Arabidopsis thaliana: one gene and its partner. The protein of the gene in region 1 interacts with the protein of each later gene in a pairwise test. Each region holds a gene or a part of one and is shown in the gene's direction. Other genes may lie near its edges.

The links. Proteins that work in one complex are often made in the same cells at the same time.
Region 2: the proteins of AT4G17720 (region 1) and RABA1d interact in a two-hybrid assay, tested with the Arabidopsis thaliana proteins (2 studies listed by BioGRID).

The regions. Positions count from the first base shown.
Region 1 is NC_003075.7:9,859,913-9,869,968, reverse strand, and holds AT4G17720 (RNA-binding (RRM/RBD/RNP motifs) family protein), read left to right. Parts: upstream 1-5,305; 5' UTR 5,306-5,470; coding exon 5,471-5,476; intron 5,477-6,122; coding exon 6,123-6,226; intron 6,227-6,317; coding exon 6,318-6,393; intron 6,394-6,480; coding exon 6,481-6,561; intron 6,562-6,634; coding exon 6,635-7,309; 3' UTR 7,310-7,604; downstream 7,605-10,056. Other genes in the region: AT4G17740 (Peptidase S41 family protein), read left to right, coding at 250-330, 432-723, 820-969, 1,048-1,130, 1,218-1,426, 1,536-1,604, 1,676-1,794, 1,886-1,961 and 5 more; SYP23 (syntaxin of plants 23), read right to left, coding at 3,252-3,273, 3,445-3,544, 3,628-3,785, 3,867-3,941, 4,014-4,153, 4,236-4,329, 4,419-4,618; AT4G17718 (Defensin-like (DEFL) family protein), read left to right, coding at 7,974-8,022, 8,117-8,373; AT4G17713 (Putative membrane lipoprotein), read left to right, coding at 9,761-9,809, 9,924-10,056.
Region 2 is NC_003075.7:10,315,933-10,325,988, reverse strand, and holds RABA1d (RAB GTPase homolog A1D), read left to right. Parts: upstream 1-4,415; 5' UTR 4,416-4,649; coding exon 4,650-4,870; intron 4,871-5,409; coding exon 5,410-5,833; 3' UTR 5,834-6,127; downstream 6,128-10,056. Other genes in the region: AT4G18810 (NAD(P)-binding Rossmann-fold superfamily protein), read left to right, coding at 254-316, 422-652, 737-898, 995-1,045, 1,139-1,273, 1,370-1,393, 1,492-1,603, 1,684-1,809 and 9 more; NRAMP5 (NRAMP metal ion transporter family protein), read left to right, coding at 6,329-6,906, 7,035-7,171, 7,252-7,904, 7,980-8,204; IRX1 (cellulose synthase family protein), read left to right, coding at 9,270-9,447, 9,540-9,619, 9,703-9,754, 9,849-10,014.

The DNA.
Region 1 (10,056 bases):
TAAAGGATTATGTTTAGTATCCATTGTAAAGTCTTTCTCTACTAACATTATCGTTAGGACTCAGTAGTACGGTTGCAACTTTGTGCAGAAATCTTTCCTTGGATAATAGAAGAGTTGTATTTATTATTAAAAAGAAAATGCCATTTTTTCTAATTTATTGTAGAAAGTGACTACTTTGTCCAATCATATTTGTAGTCCTTTTTCGATAAGAAAAACAGAGTTGGAATTTTCCCGGGGAAGCTCTTTTCAATGGAGGTCCTTGCGAGCTCTTCATTATCCCCAATTTCTTTTACTAAGCCTAACAAAATAAACCCTAATTTCTCAATCCAGGTACTTTTCTTTCGTATAGTTGACTCCTTTTTAAGTTTCTCTCCTGCAATTCCCCAATTTGTGTCCGTTTAGCTGTGTAATAGAATTTTCAACCTTTGCAGGTGAAATTGTGGGTAAAACAACCTCCAAAGATTTCAAAAGCTAGCAAATTTAGTTATGCTCGTAGTCGTAGTAACATTTCAAGGAGCAATGCAGCAAACCCAGGAGTCGTGTTCGTCTGTAATAGATTTCTGTGTGTTATCGAAAGAAATGATCAGAGGAAATTATCTGGGAAGGTTATGATGAAATCTTCTGTTAATTTCAGACAGAATCTCTCTGTTGCATTAGTTCGGATCGTTTCTGTTCTGCTTGTCTCTTCCATTTCTGTTGTTACCACTGATTCACCACCATCATGTAAGTTCTGTTTTTTTTACATGTTGAGAAACCATATAAATTTCGGGGAATGCAATTTGATTTCATTTGTGTGGCTTTTTTTCTCTGTCTCTTTAGGGGGTCTTACTGAAGAGAATCTTCTCTTCCTCGAGGCTTGGAGAACAATTGATCGTGCTTATATTGATAAAACCTTTAATGGACAAAGCTGGTTTCGTTACAGAGAGACTGCTTTACGAAATGAGCCTATGAACACTCGAGAAGAGACATGTATGTGTGAATAGCTTTATTAACCTTTTACAAAATTAGTACAACTTGCTTCTAAATTTGGTGTTGGTTTGTGTTTAGACATGGCTATCAAGAAAATGGTGGCAACACTAGATGATCCTTTTACTCGATTCTTGGAGCCCGGAAAGTTCAAGAGTTTGCGGGTAAGATTTCCTGAAAATATACAGTTCTGAATTTAGCAAATAGACTGTATGTAAGATCTAGTAATTAAATGGTTTGGTTGAAGGCAGTCGGGGACTCAAGGGGCGGTTACGGGTGTTGGGCTGTCGATAGGTTACCCCACTGCATCAGATGGACCACCAGCTGGGCTTGTTGTTATATCAGCTGCTCCAGGAGGTCCTGCAAATAGGGCGGGGATATTACCTGGCGATGTTATTCAAGGAATTGATAATACAACCACAGAAACTCTTACCATATACGATGCTGCACAGATGTTGCAGTGAGTTACATTTCCATTTTTCATCATTCCTTAACTTTGAAAAATCTAAGTGTGACGAGTTAATGGTTCTGAAGTAAGAAATGATGATAATGCTTTGGTTGAAATGCAGGGGACCTGAAGGAAGTGCAGTGGAGCTAGCGATTCGCAGTGGACCTGAAACGAGACTCTTAACTTTGACGTATTTCTCTCATGCCTACATTTATCTTCGTTGTCACGTTCATTTGGTAACTACAATTGTTGTTATTTCAGGCGAGAGCGGGTTTCTGTGAATCCAGTGAAGTCAAGATTATGTGAACTTCCTGGTTCTGGGAGTAACTCCCCTAAGATTGGCTATATCAAGCTAACAACATTCAATCAAAATGCTTCTAGTATGTATTCTTTGGCATTACTGATTCCTTCTTACAAATTTATCTACTCTCTAGTTTATTATCTCTCAAAGTCTTAACACTTTTTTTGTAGGTGCGGTAAGGGAAGCTATTGAAACCTTGAGAGGCAACAATGTAAACGCATTCGTCTTGGACCTTCGAGACAATAGGTGATGATTTTTTGAGAACATAAACTCTTTTTTGCTTTTGCAACAGCCTTTCTTAAAAAAATTGTTCTTGCTGCAGTGGAGGTTCTTTCCCAGAAGGAATTGAGATTGCTAAATTTTGGTAATAACCTCATAAACCGTTACATATAACGAATTAGAAAATTTCAAGATCCACAGCTATCATAATAGAAACTTCAACATTTGCTATCCACAGGTTAGATAAAGGAGTGATTGTGTATATTTGCGATAGTCGAGGTGTTAGAGATATATATGATACTGATGGAAGCAATGCTATAGCAACCTCTGAGCCTCTTGCCGTTCTTGTATGAGCTTCCATCCTTCCTTTCCTCAAATCTAGTCCTTATTGTAATCTGTAAATGCCATGAAAGATTTCATTCTCACACAATCTTTCTCTTTTCCAGGTTAACAAAGGCACCGCGAGTGCCAGCGAGATATTAGCAGGTGCCTTGAAAGATAATAAACGTGCTCTGGTTTATGGAGAACCAACTTACGGAAAAGGGTAAACAAAATGGCGCTATTTTTTATTCTTCTTCTCAGAGACCGAACCGTAAAATTCCTGAGACTTTAACGCATTTTGCAGCAAGATACAGTCGGTTTTTGAGCTTTCTGATGGTTCGGGCTTGGCAGTAACAGTTGCTCGATATGAAACACCAGCTCACACAGATATAGACAAAGTATGAAACTACTTTCTTCCTGTAGTAACCCCCTCTGTGTCTACACTACACTACATACAAACATGTTCTTACAGTCTTGACTCGTTGCTGGTTGTTGTATAGGTCGGTGTAACTCCTGATCATCCATTGCCAAAGTCGTTTCCGAAAGATGAAGAGGCGTTCTGTGGATGCCTTAAGGATCCTACAGCTGCTTGTTATCTCAATCAAGGCCTACTTTTTTCTAGATGATTTTGTTTTGTTCAAACTTTGTTCTGACAACATATGACTAAAATTTATTGACTCAAGCTTTGTACTTTTGAAGATTCGCCATAGCTTTAGCTAATCGAAACCAGAAATTTCACATTTAAGAACACAAACAGAGGATTTTCCTTCAGAACCAAGTTATATTACAGAGACAAAGCAGTAACACTCTCTCCTTCAGAACCAAGACTCAGCAAACACAAGCCAAATCAAACCAAAGTGAACTACTCTATATACTCGATAACAAGAAACAAGAGACCAATAGTCCAACAGACTAAATTGTAGGAACAAAGAGAGTCGTGACAAACATATACTCATTGATGCTTCTTGATTGATGATGAAGCACTTGTCCATGCTTTTATGAGCTTGGGGAAATCAAACTGCGAGCACTATAATAACAATCATGAGCACGATACCAAAAATCACCAAGAGCAAGCACGTCTACAAGAAAAAGAAAAAACAATGGAAAGAAGAAGTTAGTAGGCTGATCTGATCATCCAAAATCCTCAAAAACACATTTCATGGTACGATCAAAAGCTTTAATATATTACCAGAGAAGAATTTGATCTTTGTGTCTTTGATGCCTTACGAGATGGGATTTTCCTTGGGCAGTTGCAGCGTAAGAGTTATCGATGTGAGTACCAATATCATCTACACAAAAATAGGTCTTACGTCTTAGGTTTTGAAGACATAAGTGAGAGTTTTAGCATAACAAGAGTTGGAATCAGTTTTACCTATCATGTTTCCTTGATCGTGCACCAACACTGCCAAGTCTTTGAAGATCTCGTGCACCTCGCCAATTTGCTGCTGAATTTCTTGTATCCCTTGCTCTCTTTCCTCAATAACAGCCTCATTGAACGCAATCTCATTGTCCAACAGTACAAGTTCTTGTCTGCAACAAAAAACAACAAACCAATCAATAGATAACTCATCAACCGAACAAAGATGGACACCATTGTCTGTATAAACTAACCTTTTTGATTCCACAAGAAGGGCACGCTGCTCTGGATGCTTATCTCCATTCACATCTATCTCACTGGATGTGTAGCTACATTACCAAAGCCAGGAAATCAATACACAAAACCACAAAAGTAAACATAAACCATCAATGAGCATTAACCTTGAGGGAAGAGATGGCTTGTGGACAAGAGGAGCATATACGGTTTCTCTTTCAGCAGCAAGACGCTGAGCCTTTTGAAACTCTTTCAACACAGCTTGAAAGTCCTTTGCAAGCTTAGCATCCACAATCTTCTTCTTTTGCTAACCAACCAATCAAATTCCTATTAATCAACAGAAGTAGCAGAAGAAGAACAAGAATCTTCCTTTATCATAAATGACTCACATTTACACCTCTTTGATGATCAGTTTCACTAGCTTCTTTAAGTTTAGCTGATGTATCTTTCACTAACTGTCCAATATATAATCTTGTCTTATGCCTAAAACAAGCAAATTGACTCAATTAGAAACAATTTCAAGTACCCTAAAACTCAAAAAGGAGATAACTTTAACTTTGAGAAGTACTTACAGCTTCTCTCTGAGCTCAGGCGTATCTTTAGGAGTACCAAGAGTATTGACAAGACGATGGAAAGTGGAAACACTTGTATTGATCTGAAATATACCAGAAGCAACATCTTGAGTCGTGTCTTGTCTACTACCACCACCATTGATGTTCCTTGAAGAAGCTAATGATCTTCCTCTTCCCGCCTCTAAATCTTGAAAACTCATTCTTTCTCTCTCTTTCTCGAAAACCCCGCCACTAAATTATCCTCTTTTATTCGCCCAAGAAAACAAAGCAACAACAAAATTCGATTTACAGTCGATAACGGAGATCGAGGGAAGAGAGGATGTGATGGTGATTTCAAGATTCCCCGGTGAGTTTCTCTCTCTCCGGACAGATTGAGAAAAAACGTGAACCGCGGAGAGAGAGATTGAGCAAAACGTGAAATGTCACATTACCTGTATGAACGGAAAAAGCTTGTACTTTTTTCATTTTTTGATCCTTAACTTTTCTATAATATTCCAAACGTGACTCTATAGTTTAGAATCTTAACGGTATATCCTCCTTTTATTATAAAGTGATAAATGGTCTACGATGATTACATTGCTCTGAGCTCAGGACACGTGGATGGTAGACATTGGTGGAGAAAGTGATTATGTCACGACGTTAATTGATTATTTTAACCAAGATACTAACAGATTACGGATTAATTAGAATTAGATTAAGGATTATGATAGATTAGTCCAGAATTTAATGAATAAAATCTCTAGATAGAACTTTACGTGACTAAAAAGGGTCAAAAGCAAAAGAAGTTTAAAATTAGGACTCTTTTTTAATCATCGCACGTGAGAAGGTTCCGACCATATCACGTGCCAAACCCGAATAAGACTCGTTTTTCCAAGGCGTTTAAAATCAGGTCCCACTTTTTTCTTTTATTTTTCACTCTTCTTCACATCAAATCCGCGACCAGAGATTTTTCTTTCCTTTGATTTTTCGTTTCGTTTCGTTTCAAATATTGTTCCTCCTGTGTGAAGGAAAAACAATCTTCCATTTCAATCCGCGTCAACGCGATTTTCTTCATGACGGTGAGCTTATCTAATCTCTTCGCTTTTTGAAACTAGTTAGTTTTGGTTTTTGTTTTGGATTTATCCTGAGAAAGGTCGATGTTTTTGCTGTTGATTTGATTGAGGAAGATGTGAACAGATCTGTTGATTTTGATTGTTGTTTTCTAATTTGTTTTGCGAGAAATGGCGTTGATTATTAGTGAAGAATCGCTAGTTTTTTTATTTTAGAGGATTTGAAGCTGTTCTCTGTTTTTGATTTGGGTGAAAATTACTGTTTCTGATATGAAGAAATTTTTTTTTAGGGTAAAATTGCTTTTGTTTGGATTAGGATATTCACTTTAGCATTTGTTTTGTTTTGTAATCTGTTAATATCTGATCTGTGCCATAGGATTAGTTTTGAGACAAGTATTTGCTTTTCCTAGATTCTGAGGTTCTTTTTATCTTCTTGTATTGATGATGCAATGTTTCTGTGTTTTCTGATCATTGTATTGATAATATTGGTTGCTTTAGGAGTGTGTGTGTGTGTGTTTAGTCATTGTTTTAGGCGATAAGGAATCGAGAAATGTGTAATCGAACAACTAATGAATAAGTCTGAGATTTTGTTTAGCTGGTGAAATGGTTTGAAATTTTAGTTTTTAAGTCACACGAGATTATATTTCACTTGCAGATGACAACAGTTAAAGTGAGCAATGTTTCTCTAGGAGCAACCGATAGAGATCTCAAGGAGTTCTTTTCCTTTTCTGGCGATATTCTGTACCTTGAGACGCAGAGGTTTGGTTTCCTCTCTATTGTTCCTTTTGAAAGTTTTAGATTACAGCTTTTAGTTCGTCAGGTTCTTAACTCTTTTGACATGTTTGTACAGCGAGACTGAGCGGACTAAACTGGCATATGTCACTTTTAAGGATCTACAAGGAGCTGAAACTGCGGTTCTTCTCTCGGTATTTTTACTTCTTAGCCTGTATTAGTTCCTCTATATGACTGTATCCTTTGAGTGACTGAGTATTAATGTAATTCTTTCATTTCAGGGAGCAACGATTGTTGATTCTTCAGTCATTGTCTCTATGGCTCCTGATTACCAACTGTCCCCTGAGGCTTTAGCTTCCTTGGTAAGCTCGTAATTCATCATCTCTTCTGAGTTTTTTCACAAGTTAAAATCTTACCATTTCATCTTTTTCACAGGAACCCAAGGACAGCAATAAATCTCCCAAGGCAGGTGACTCCGTGTTGAGAAAAGCCGAAGATGTTGTGAGCAGCATGCTTGCAAAGGGCTTTATCCTGGGAAAAGATGCCATAGCTAAAGCCAAAAGTGTTGACGAGAAGCACCAGCTAACATCTACAGCATCAGCCAAAGTCGCATCTTTTGACAAGAAAATTGGTTTCACTGATAAGATCAACACAGGCACGGTGGTAGTGGGAGAAAAGGTCAGGGAAGTTGATCAGAAGTACCAAGTCTCAGAGAAAACCAAATCAGCAATCGCTGCAGCGGAGCAGACAGTGAGCAATGCAGGTTCAGCTATAATGAAGAACCGGTATGTTCTCACAGGTGCCACGTGGGTTACTGGAGCATTCAACAAAGTTGCTAAAGCTGCAGAAGAAGTTGGACAAAAGGCTAAAGAGAAAGTTGGTATGGCTGAGGAAGAGGATAAGAGGAAAGTGGTTGATGAGTTTGCTAGAGTTCACTTGTCTGAATCACCAAAGGCAGCTTCATCAACGCAAGAAGCCGAACGTGAATCAAAACTCTCTGAATCTCCTGAAGCAAAGAAAGATTCTGAACATCTTGAGCCACAATCGAAACCATTGCAGCAACAATCTCCTCCACCTATGGCTTCAGCTCCTGCTCCGGCTCAACCTTGAGATATGCAATCAAAGACCTTTCTGATTCTTGTTGTAAACGGTAAAACTTGGAACTAATCTCTCTCAGATTGTTGAAGATGAAGATTGAACTTGTTATTTAGGACGAAGACTTGTGTTCTTGTAACATTGGATTCATGGTCGATTTGGTAATTAGACCTTAAAAAGAAAACAATTTTGTTCTTTTCGTTTTTCTTAAACTTATTTAAACCGGGCTAATCATCATGGTTAACTGAACCAAATACCGATCGATTTTTATTTTAAAATCAAAAATTTGATTAGAGCAATTAGCCCGTCAAGTGATTTTATGTAACTGAAAGTAACAAACCAAAGTAGATGTTACAAACACATTTGACAGGAAACGCTTTGTCGGTGATCTAAGAACTCTAATTATAAGAAGATTTTAAGCACTTTAAATTCAAAGAAGTATCAATTAAGAATAAATGTATATATTGACATTTGACAAAACTAAAGGAATAAAATCTCGACCAGTTAAACGCATTTATCAAAATATTTTGTTCTCAAGTGAAAAAAGAACAGATTTATTCATGGTATAAAAGGAAAAAGACAATTCGTTTTCTCACAATTATATATTGTTTGTAAACACATCATCTTAATTGTGCAAACAATATCAAAATTATACAAATAGAAAAGAGCACAGAAAAAAATGGAGAAGTCAGCTTTGATATTCATCGGTATTCTACTTTTTTCAACATGTGAGTTTCACAACTAAATTTATGTACCAATTGTATTCATCATCCTTATCATGTCATGAGCGTTTCTATAAATCATTTCGGTGATTTTTAGCAGGTACATCGATTATGGCACGAACTGGATATGTATCTTGCAAGACGAATTCTGACTGTGTTAAACTCAAATGTCCAACGCCATTTGGTGGCCCCAAATGTATTAGCGGTAGTTGTGAATGCCCCTTTAAAGAACTCATGACATTACCGAATGATACCAATTATGGTGTGGCTGCCTGCATTGACTATTGCAAGGCAAAAGGTGAAATTGTTTATGCATGTATCTTAAACCATTGTTACTCTTACAAACCTCCCATGTAATTTTATTAAGTTTTTGCGCATAAGGTTTTCAAATATCTAATTTTATCACTATTAATATCTTTTGAATATCGATAATATCATTTAATTACTATAGTTTATGTTTGGACATTTGACTGAAAATTAAACTTATAGTTTGAATGTTTTTCTTTCACTTATTTGTTAGATTCATTTGTATATTTTGTGTACTTAATCGTTTATGAACATAAGACAAGTTAAATTGATATTTTATCAGGTTTGTTAGTGTCCTAAATTATACTTGTTTTACATAAATATTAGATATTCATTAAAAATATATTTCTCTATGGAAATTAAAGAAACAACAATAATTGTAGTTCAGTCGAGATAAAAATCAGTTCAACAAAAATATCATGACAATCCGGCAAAAATTTAGTAAAAATTTGGAATAAATCCGTAAAACCTTATACAATATAACCTCTATAAATTAATACTCTATAAATTAATAACCTCTATAAATTAATAAATTCTTCCGGTTCTGAGTTGAGACCAGTATAAAAAGTGACAAAAATCGATAAATTAATAAGATAATAATTTTTTTGAAATCTATGTAAATATATGGTCCCATCAATATCATAAATTAATAATTGTATAAATGTATCAACTATATATATATATATATATATATATATATTATATGTAAAAAAAATTCTCTAAAATATATTTATAATATTTTTTTTGCTTAAATTCATATTTATTCTTTGTTTGATTATAGTTTTCATATTTTACTGTATCAAAACTTTTGATGTTGTTTTTTAGACATTATTATTATGTTTTACTTGTAAATGGTTCTATAAATATATTTTCTATAATGAAAGAAATCTTATAGAAATTTTTAAAACATTACCAAATTAGGAAAATTTCTCTATTATCTATAAATTAATACCTCTCTAAATTAATAAAATTTTGTAGTCCCAACTTTATTAATTTATAGAGGTTTTACTGTACTTCAAAGTTCTTCGTCAATGATTTAATTATCAAGATATTATAAAATTGTTTACCGAGATTTTTGGTAACTATTTGAGTAACGAATATTTGAGTAACGAATCGATTAAATAAATGCACTCTCAAAATGTAAATATAGAAGATCAAATGTTATCGCTGGCAAAAAGAAAAATAATGAATTTCCAATTTACTACCTTGATTAGAAACATCAAACTAGGTAATTTTTCACTCATTCTGAAACAAATTTGGTATAAAATCTTATTACATGAAGTAAGTAACGTATTTACCAAAACATTAACCAGTAAATTAGCAAAACAATTGCTTGCTGGGGAAGAAAACCAAATTATAAATACTCTCCAAATCCTCCAGTTTTAGTCACACAAACAACTCAAAACACAAGAGAAAGATACAAACTTATTCAATAAAAATGGAGAAAGCAGCTTTGATATTTATCGGTCTTCTACTTTTCTCAACATGTACGTAATTTTTTTGGATAATATGTTTAGTTACATTCATCGCCATCTTCTTCTTCCTCATCTATATTATATATCATCATGAATTCATGATCAATAACATATTTAATCTCATAGGCACACAAATTCTGGCACAATCTTGCAACAATGACTCTGATTGTACTAATCTAAAATGTGCAACGAAGAATATCAAGTGTGAGCAGAACAAGTGTCAATGCCTTGATGAAAGATACATCCGTGCGATATCGCT
Region 2 (10,056 bases), 460 kb from region 1:
CGGGTTCGACTCCCGGCAGACGCATTTCCTCATTAAATCTTTTGCGTGAAACTTCATCAGAGTAAAACTATGTCGTTTGAATTAGATCGGTATCACCGGAACCACCCTACCGGTTAATTAAACCGGAAAACAAACCGCTGAGACTTCCCCACGTGTGTGGTCTACAATCTCTATCGATTCCACAGCACAAAAATCTTTTGCGCTTTTGAGATTTTTCCAGAATTCAATCTTTCGAGTGTTGTTGAATTCAGAAATGGAGGTTTCGTCTTCACTCAAGCTCTCATCGTCGTTATCTCCTTCCATCATCAAACTTCAGGTTAAGCATTTTCTCAGTTTTTTCTTATTAAATATGTCTGTTTTCTGAAACTGAGTCTGCAAAATTCTCAATAAATTTGAAGACTTTTCTGTTAATACTTTGCAGGGTTCTTCATCAAGTATTGATATAAAATTCTCTAAGTACACTTCACTTCCTAAACCGTTTCTTCAACTTGATGATAAAAGCCGACGTCTTCGTGACCAACAAGTTTCACATTCTCTCGAGCTAAGGTCTTACAGAAAACGGGTCACTGCGAAATCAGGTTCTCAAGGTTGGGACTTTGGTAGATTCGTCAAAACATTGTACTTTTTCAATGGACCACCATCTCCTCTAAAGGTATATATGAGGACTTTTGTTTGATTCTCATTGAGAGGTGTAATATAGTCATTTGAAGTAATTGATTGTTTCTTGCTTGTGAAGTTTGTTTCATCGGTGTTTGAGAAACTTACTAACGGAGCAACGGAGGAACCGGTTGCTGAAATGGGAACTTCTGGAATCATACTTGTGGCTGGAGCTACTGGTGGTGTAGGAAGAAGGATTGTTGATATCTTGAGGAAAAGAGGGTTGCCTGTTAAAGCATTGGTACTAAACTTTTCGATAGGTTTCTCTTTTCTTGTGTTTTAATTCTGATTTTGAAAATGTGGGCAAAGTCTTTAACTTTTTGGGGAATAATCATAGGTTAGAAATGAAGAGAAGGCTCGGAAGATGTTAGGACCTGAGATTGACTTGGTGAGTCCACTGAAATTTTCCACATTGTATTCTTGTTATTTTTATAGTTATAAGACCATTGATAACTATCTGCATATATTTCAATGTTGTCAGATTGTTGCAGATATTACAAAGGAGAATACATTGGTTCCTGAAAAGTTCAAAGGAGTGAGGAAAGTGATCAATGCTGTTTCTGTTATTGTTGGTCCAAAGGAAGGAGATACACCTGAGAGACAAAAATATAATCAGGTCGGTGAATTTTTCTGAATGGAATTTCTTAAAAGCTTTGAACTTTAGATTCTAGCTTTGAGAAATGACTCTGTTTGGATATTGGTTATAATGCAGGGAGTCAGGTTCTTCGAGCCAGAGGTACTGGGACTATAAGAACATTTCTTGAGTATTGTTTTGATGAATTTAGTGCTCAATGTTCAATAAAACTAAAACCTATAGATTTTGGTTATTCACAGATAAAAGGCGACTCTCCCGAGTTAGTGGAATACATTGGAATGAAGAACTTAATCAATGCTGTTAGAGATGGTGTTGGACTTGAGAATGGGAAGCTTATTTTTGGTGTCGGGGGTAAGTTGGGTCAAGGAACTTGATTAGGTTTCTATGAGTTGACATGGCATTATAAAAGACTTACCAATATATCTGTATAGATAACACGTTTAAGGATCTACCTTGGGGAGCATTGGATGATGTTGTAATGGGAGGTGTCAGCGAAAGTAACTTCATAGTAGATCTAACCGCTGGTGAAAACGGTGGACCTACCGGAATTTTTAAAGGTTTGATAAGATAACAACTCTATTTGCCATTTTCCTTCTCTTGGGGTTTTACTTATATAAGCATAACATGTTTTGTTAGGAATTGTTTCCACAACAAATAATGGCGGATTTACGAGTGTCCGAACCAAGGTAAAGGGTACGACTAAATGTCAGAATCTCTCCAAGCTTTTTTATCCTTCGTTATCTCACTGAAGCATGAGTCTTACACTTTTCTTCTAGAACTTTCCCGAGGCGGAGAATGTCTCTGCATATGATGGTCTAGAGCTAAGACTAAAAGGTGATGGACTCCGTTATAAGCTAATCGTCCGAACAAGCCAAGATTGGGATACTGTTGGTTACACCGCCAGTTTTGACACTTCACCAGGCCAATGGCAATCTGTAAGTAAAATCACTTTTGTCTTTCATTTTCGATATACTTTTGTGGGTAGATTAATTATAGTTCTGTTACTTTAAATCATAGGTACGCTTACCTTTCTCGTCTTTAAGACCTGTATTTCGCGCACGTACAGTTACAGATGCACCACCTTTTAATGCAAGCAGTATCATTTCACTACAGGTTTGTTTTCCTTTTTGTGTTAACCCTCTTAAAATTCCCATTCTAAATGTTTGATTAATAAGTTGGCTATTTTTCAGCTTATGTTTAGCAAATTTGAGTATGATGGTAAGCTTAACCCTACATTCAAAGAAGGACCTTTCGAGCTTCCTTTATCTAGCATTCGAGCTTATATCCAAGACCCCGTCACTCCAAGGTCTGATCTAGTTTCTTGCTTTTTAGAAACCAAACTCTTCACTAAATGCTGAACTAGCATTTCGTTACTTATCGTTACAGGTTTGTTCACGTTGGCTCTGCGGGAGTTACTCGACCAGAGAGACCCGGTTTGGATCTAAGCAAACAACCTCCGGCCGTGAGATTAAACAAAGAGCTTGATTTCATTCTCACTTACAAGTTAAAGGTTTGTCTCTCTATACTCTCTGCTTCGCAGAAAATTGGAAAAGTCATTTTCAAAAGATTTTAAAGCTCTTACTTTTGAATGACTAGGGAGAGGATCTGATACGCGACAGCGGGATTCCATTTGCAATTGTACGGCCATGTGCTTTAACAGAAGAGCCTGCCGGAGCTGATCTCATTTTCGAACAAGGAGACAACATTACGGTATTTTCAATTTCGCTTCTCCTTGAAATCCAACAACTCTTTAAGTTAACTAACCTAACCAACTTTACCTTTATATAGGGGAAGGTATCAAGAGACGAAGTAGCGCGTATATGCATCGCTGCTTTAGAAAGCCCGTATGCTCTTAACAAGACCTTCGAGGTTTTTAAAGAATCATCAATTTTTCGATTTTTCCGGGTTGCTATTCAAAAAGTTAAATTTCTGAATTGGGCTGTTTTGTGTGTTGTTTGTTTGTTTCAGGTTAAAAGTACGGTTCCGTTTAGCGAGCCTTTCACGGTAGATCCTGAGAATCCTCCACCGGAGAAAGACTACAATGAGTATTTCAAGACTCTGAAAGATGGAATCACCGGTAAAGAAGCTTTAGAACAGAGCACTGTTGCAGTTTAAACCAGGTTTTATCTACTTTTGTAACTGTGTGTTGTCTCATCTTCGTTAAAAATCTTTCCAAAAGTAAAAACAACAACAAAAGAGTCGTGTAGAAACATGTTTGTATACTCCATATATCGTACATTGTAGATAAGATTTACAAAAGCTTATTGACGACAACAATAAAGATTGTACCTTTTGATCCGTGGAGGTTCTTCAACAAGATTCTGAAATTTCTCTGCCATTTCTCTGTCTGTGAGAATTTTGCCTTGTGGTGTAAGAAAAGCAGTCCGTTGAAACGGTGGAGACCAGATACCGCTTGTCTGGTAATCAAACTGAAACTCAGACACGTCAATGTACTTCTGAAGAAGTTTGTCTGAAACTGGTTTTGTAACATTCTGAGTTAAAACAGAGGAAGAAGATGAAGATGTAGGTGGAGTTTCAGACATTTTTTAAAGAAAAGAAAAAGTAAAGAATCTAAATTTTGATAGGAGGGTTTCATGAGGAAAAGGGTTGATGGAGACTTTTATGGTAATGACAAAATAATGGATTTTTTGGCTAATAATGGAGGATGAGTGGAGAGGAGCACAGAACATTTGTCTATGTTCCTTTTTCACTCTTTTTTTTGTTTCTTTTCTTAATGTACAGATGCGTTTTTGGATTACATATTACATAATACACAAATCATTGAACTCTTTTCACATGGCAGCAGATATGTGAGTTTTTGCTAACCTCAAAGAATTTAGACAATACACACAACTACTATGTGATTAGCCCATATGGGCTTCCATTTTAGTGTGTGTTGAAACCCATTGGGTATATACAGAATCCACTAACTAGAAGATAGAGCTAGAAATGTTTCATTTTTGTTAGATCATCATTGAGAGTGACTGAAATATCGCCGTTTACCAATGTAACATGACCACCACCACTACTTTTTGACCTTTTCAAGAAAATGAAAGCATGTAACATATACATACAAAAGTTTAACGAAATGTCGGATCTACCCCTGATCTTAGGGAGTGAATCCGGGGTAGTTTAGTACATGTATACAAAATATTTCACCCAGAATCTATCGGTGATCATGGTCCAGCTAGAAAGACACCAGTCTTACCCTAACTTTTTTCAAAGTCTGTGTCTTTCTGTAGAAATCTGAGGAATAAATATTTGAATCTAAAGAGAATAAAGAAGAAAGTAAAAAAGCAAAATCGAAGTTTTGTTCAATTTTCTGGGATCATAGAGCAATTTTCGTTTCTTTATTCGTTGAAAGTGTGAAGCTTTTTTGATTCAGTGAGAAGTGTTAATGGCGGGTTACAGAGCAGATGATGATTACGATTACCTATTCAAGGTGGTTCTGATCGGTGATTCAGGTGTTGGAAAGTCCAATTTGCTTTCTCGATTCACCAGGAACGAGTTTAGTCTCGAGTCTAAATCAACGATCGGGGTCGAGTTCGCGACTCGTAGCTTGAATGTTAATGAAAAAGTCATCAAAGCCCAGATTTGGGACACTGCTGGTCAAGAAAGGTTTAAGCTCCGTCTCTTTGATTTTGTCTTCATTTGTTCATTTCTCGATCTGTGTTTTAGGTATTGGCCTTCTGATGCATTGTGGAGTCAATACAATTTCATTAGATCTGTCTTAGTTAATGGAATCAGTTTATCGTAGAGAAAGCTTGAGAAATCAACCTAACCTGTGATCGTGTATATAATTACTGGAGGTGAAGTGTACATTGTATTTGTGTATAATGAGAGAACTCAACAATTATGCTTAAAGTTACCAGCTTTGTAGAAATTCTGTTGTTTTGCTGATTAGTTTGATCAACCAGTGGTTGATGATAATCTTCGGTATCGTATATGTTCATGGTGTTTCTATATGTTCGTTAATTCTGATGACGATATCGATTTCTTTAATGATCGTTTTCTACCATTGAAGCTGAAGAGCTTATTGCTTTGAAGTCTTTCTTGTCATTTCGGTTCTTATTATGTTCCTATCTTTCTAATTTAACAGAGTTTCAATGACTAAGTCGTTAACGGGTTTTTGTTTCTCCTCTTTTCGCTATTTTTAGATACCGAGCAATCACTAGTGCTTACTATCGAGGAGCTGTTGGGGCGCTTCTTGTTTACGACGTAACCCGACACTCAACATTCGAAAACGTTGAGAGATGGCTAAGGGAACTCCGTGACCACACTGACCCAAACATAGTTGTGATGCTTGTGGGAAACAAATCCGATCTTCGCCATCTTGTAGCAGTCCAAACCGAAGATGCAAAATCTTTTGCAGAGAATGAATCACTCTACTTCATGGAAACCTCAGCTCTTGAATCTACCAATGTTGAGAACGCGTTTTCTGAAGTACTCACTCAGATTTACCATGTTGTGAGCAAGAAAGCAATGGAGGCTGGTGAAGATTCCGGTAATGTTCCTTCGAAAGGAGAGAAGATCGATGTTGATGTTTCCGCAGTGAAGAAAACTGGTTGCTGCTCCAACTAAATGGTCTTATGTCCTAAAGCTGAAATCGGTTTTTAAATTTTACATTCAAATTTTGTTTTTGAAGATGTTTGCTTTTTTTTAGGAAAACAAACTATGTTATGCCTTTTGATTTGCTTGTTTGAAAATTGCTTAGCTTTGGTCTGATTCTGTACCGGTTAAGGGATTTTGTAATTTAACCGGTTCTGGTCTATGGTTTGTTTTTAATTCAATCCGCAAATATCTCTAAACCAATATTTATTGTGCTAATCCTTGAACACAACTAATTTTTGTTATACCAATTTAGAAAATTTTCGTCAAAAAAATAGAGATCACAATTCAGTTTCTAATAATAGAAACTTTTAATAACAGTTCATTTTTAGAATTTGCTTTTGTTTTCTCATTTGACTATTCTTGACTTTAATTTTAATTTTATCAAAATAATCCATGTAATCTTTTAAAATTTTCTTAAAACAAATCACGTCGTCAGTAACGCCGAAAGAATATTCCGTTACTAAGATGACGGGATCCACCGTTTCCCGCCAAGAAAACAGCCCTAAGAGACCAAACGACAGTAACGGCGAATTCAAACGTCTATTAGTTCCCGAAACCTCTCAGCCAGAGGAGGACGAGCTTCACGAATCGCCACCGGAGAATCAGATCCTGAACGTAGAAGAAGACAGAGACAAAACCTACGATTCAGTTCCGCCATTCTCATGGGCAAAGCTATGGAAATTCACCGGACCTGGATTTCTCATGAGCATCGCGTTTCTAGATCCAGGAAATATCGAAGGAGATTTACAAGCCGGAGCTGTGGCTGGTTACTCTCTCCTATGGCTTCTTCTATGGGCGACGCTAATGGGACTTCTGATGCAGCTTCTCTCTGCTCGTATCGGTGTCGCCACGGGTCGACATTTAGCGGAGATTTGTCGAAGTGAGTATCCTTCGTGGGCGCGAATCTTGCTTTGGTTCATGGCGGAGGTTGCTTTGATCGGAGCTGATATTCAAGAAGTCATCGGAAGCGCGATCGCTCTTCAGATTTTGACTCGAGGGTTTTTACCTATTTGGGTTGGTGTTATCATCACATCATTTGATTGGTAAGCAAAACTAGGTCTTTGGCTTAGAACGCCTTTAGGATCACCTGAGTTATTAAAAAACAAAATAGGTCTTTTTGCGGTGTTGTTTGTAACACAAGTTTTGATTTGTGTTGTTTGTGAAAAAACAGCTTCTTGATTTCGTATTTGGAGAAATGTGGAATGAGGAAATTAGAAGGTCTTTTCGCGGTTTTGATTGCGACAATGGCGCTTTCGTTCGCTTGGATGTTTAATGAAACTAAGCCAAGTGTTGAAGAACTATTCATAGGTAAGTTTGTAAGATTAAGCATTGTCTCTTATTTGATGTCATTTCTTGATTTGGTTTTATCTTGATGATGATTTTGAAAGGTATTATTATTCCGAAACTCGGATCAAAGACGATTAGAGAAGCTGTTGGAGTTGTGGGATGTGTAATAACGCCTCACAATGTGTTCTTGCATTCAGCTTTAGTGCAGTCTAGGAAGACGGATCCAAAGGAGATAAACAGAGTTCAAGAAGCTCTTAACTACTATACAATCGAATCGTCAGCCGCGCTTTTTGTTTCGTTCATGATCAATTTGTTTGTAACTGCGGTTTTCGCGAAAGGGTTTTATGGAACCAAACAAGCTGATAGTATAGGACTGGTTAACGCGGGATATTACCTACAAGAGAAATATGGCGGTGGTGTTTTCCCGATACTATACATTTGGGGGATTGGTTTATTAGCTGCTGGACAAAGCAGTACTATAACCGGGACTTATGCTGGACAGTTTATAATGGAAGGGTTCTTAGATCTTCAAATGGAACAATGGCTATCAGCTTTTATAACGAGAAGCTTTGCTATTGTACCTACTATGTTTGTTGCTATTATGTTTAACACATCCGAGGGCTCGCTCGATGTTTTAAACGAATGGCTTAACATTCTTCAGTCGATGCAGATTCCTTTCGCGGTTATTCCTCTTTTGACTATGGTTTCTAATGAACATATCATGGGTGTCTTCAAGATCGGACCTTCGCTTGAGGTAAAGCAATTTTTTGTCATCTCTCTTTATTGTTATGTGCTTTTGATTGTAACGAGTTAGTTGGGATCTTTGCAGAAGCTAGCTTGGACTGTGGCGGTGTTTGTGATGATGATAAATGGGTATCTTCTTCTAGATTTCTTCATGGCTGAAGTGGAAGGGTTTCTTGTTGGGTTTCTGGTTTTTGGTGGAGTAGTTGGATACATCAGTTTCATCATCTATCTTGTTTCTTATAGAAGCTCACAATCTTCTTCCTGGTCGAGTTTAGAAATGTCAGAGAGAGTTGTTTCCACAGAGACGTAGAAACCCATAACTTTAGTATTCTTCAACCCTTACAACTTATCTGAGCAAAATCAGAAGGTCGAATTTGATGGATGGTTTTGCTGTATTTGGTCAACGGTTTTATTTGAGACAGTAGACCAGAGGAAACTCAGATGTGATGATGCAAAGACTGAATTGGTTAAGAGTGTAGATTGATTTGTTCTAACATTGCAAATGTAGAGTAGAATTATGCAAAAAACGTTAATGAACAGAGAAGTGATTAAGCAGAAACAAAATTAGAGAAGTGATATTATATCTCAAAATTTATTTTTGGTACAGCTAAAGCTCAAATTGTTATAGAGATTAGAGATATTAAACCAAATGACGAGTGTTTTCTTTAGTAGTAAACGGTGAAAATTCTCTTCTGACAAAGACAATTAAAATTTTAGGTTTAAGACTTTAATATTTGTCACAAATTGTCATTTACCTAAATAAAAAAAAAACTAAATATTTTTTTTAGATACATATGTGTCTTATAATTTTAACTATAAATTTTAATTTTATGTCTTAAATAATTGTTTACACTATAAATTTAAATATTTTAATGCTAAAATTAATTTGATTCAAAAAAGTGATTTTAATTCTTATTTTTCTTATAGAAAGTTGGTGATTGAAAAGATTTACTTAAAAATTATAACAACTTCAATGGTGAATAACCCGACCCGAATAAACCGGATATAACAACTTCAATGTTAGCTTGATATAGAAAGTACGGTGACGCTTAGGAGGCAAGCAAGCTAGTATCTGCCGCTGGTTAGAGACAAAGAACATGTGTCACTCCTCTCAACTAAAACTTTCCTTCACTTTCCCGCAAAATCATTTCAAAAAAGCTCCAAATTTAGCTTACCCATCAGCTTTCTCAGAAAACCAGTGAAAGAAACTTCTCAACTTCCGATTTTTCACAATCCACCAAACTTTTTTTAATAACTTTTTTTCCTCTTATTACAAAACCTCCACTCTCATGGCTTCTCAAACTTGTTATCCATCCAAATCTCAATCCCTAATTAGGGTTCATTTCTCTGTTTCTCCAAACAGGGGAATTCGAAGATGATGGAGTCTAGGTCTCCCATCTGCAACACTTGTGGTGAAGAGATTGGTGTAAAATCAAACGGAGAGTTCTTTGTGGCTTGTCATGAGTGTAGTTTCCCGATCTGCAAAGCTTGTCTTGAGTATGAATTCAAAGAAGGTCGAAGAATTTGCTTGCGTTGCGGCAATCCTTACGATGGTACAATTATAAATTTACAAACTTTATTCGAAAGTTTGATTTTTTGGTTAAAGAGTATTTATAACTTGTTTTGTTTTGTTTTGCTTTCATAGAGAATGTGTTTGATGATGTTGAGACAAAGACATCTAAAACTCAATCCATTGTTCCAACACAGACCAATAACACTTCTCAGGTTTGTGTGCTTAGCTAAGATTAGTTGCTTTTATGTCTTAATTAGATTTTACAAATTTGAGAACATTATCTTGACTTTTTCAGGATTCAGGGATTCATGCTAGACATATAAGTACAGTCTCAACAATAGACAGTGGTAAGAACTAAGAAACAAAGCCAAAATCTTTGTATACATTTGGTGAGGTTATTAATAGTTTAACTAACTTGGGGATTGTTGTTTCTTCCTGAAGAACTGAATGATGAATATGGCAATCCAATTTGGAAGAACAGAGTGGAGAGCTGGAAAGACAAGAAAGACAAGAAGAGCAAGAAGAAGAAGAAAGATCCAAAAGCAACAAAAGCTGAACAACATGAGGCTCAGATTCCTACCCAACAGCACATGGAAGATACGCCACCGTAAGCACATCCTCGTACTAATCTAATAACATTCACCAAAAA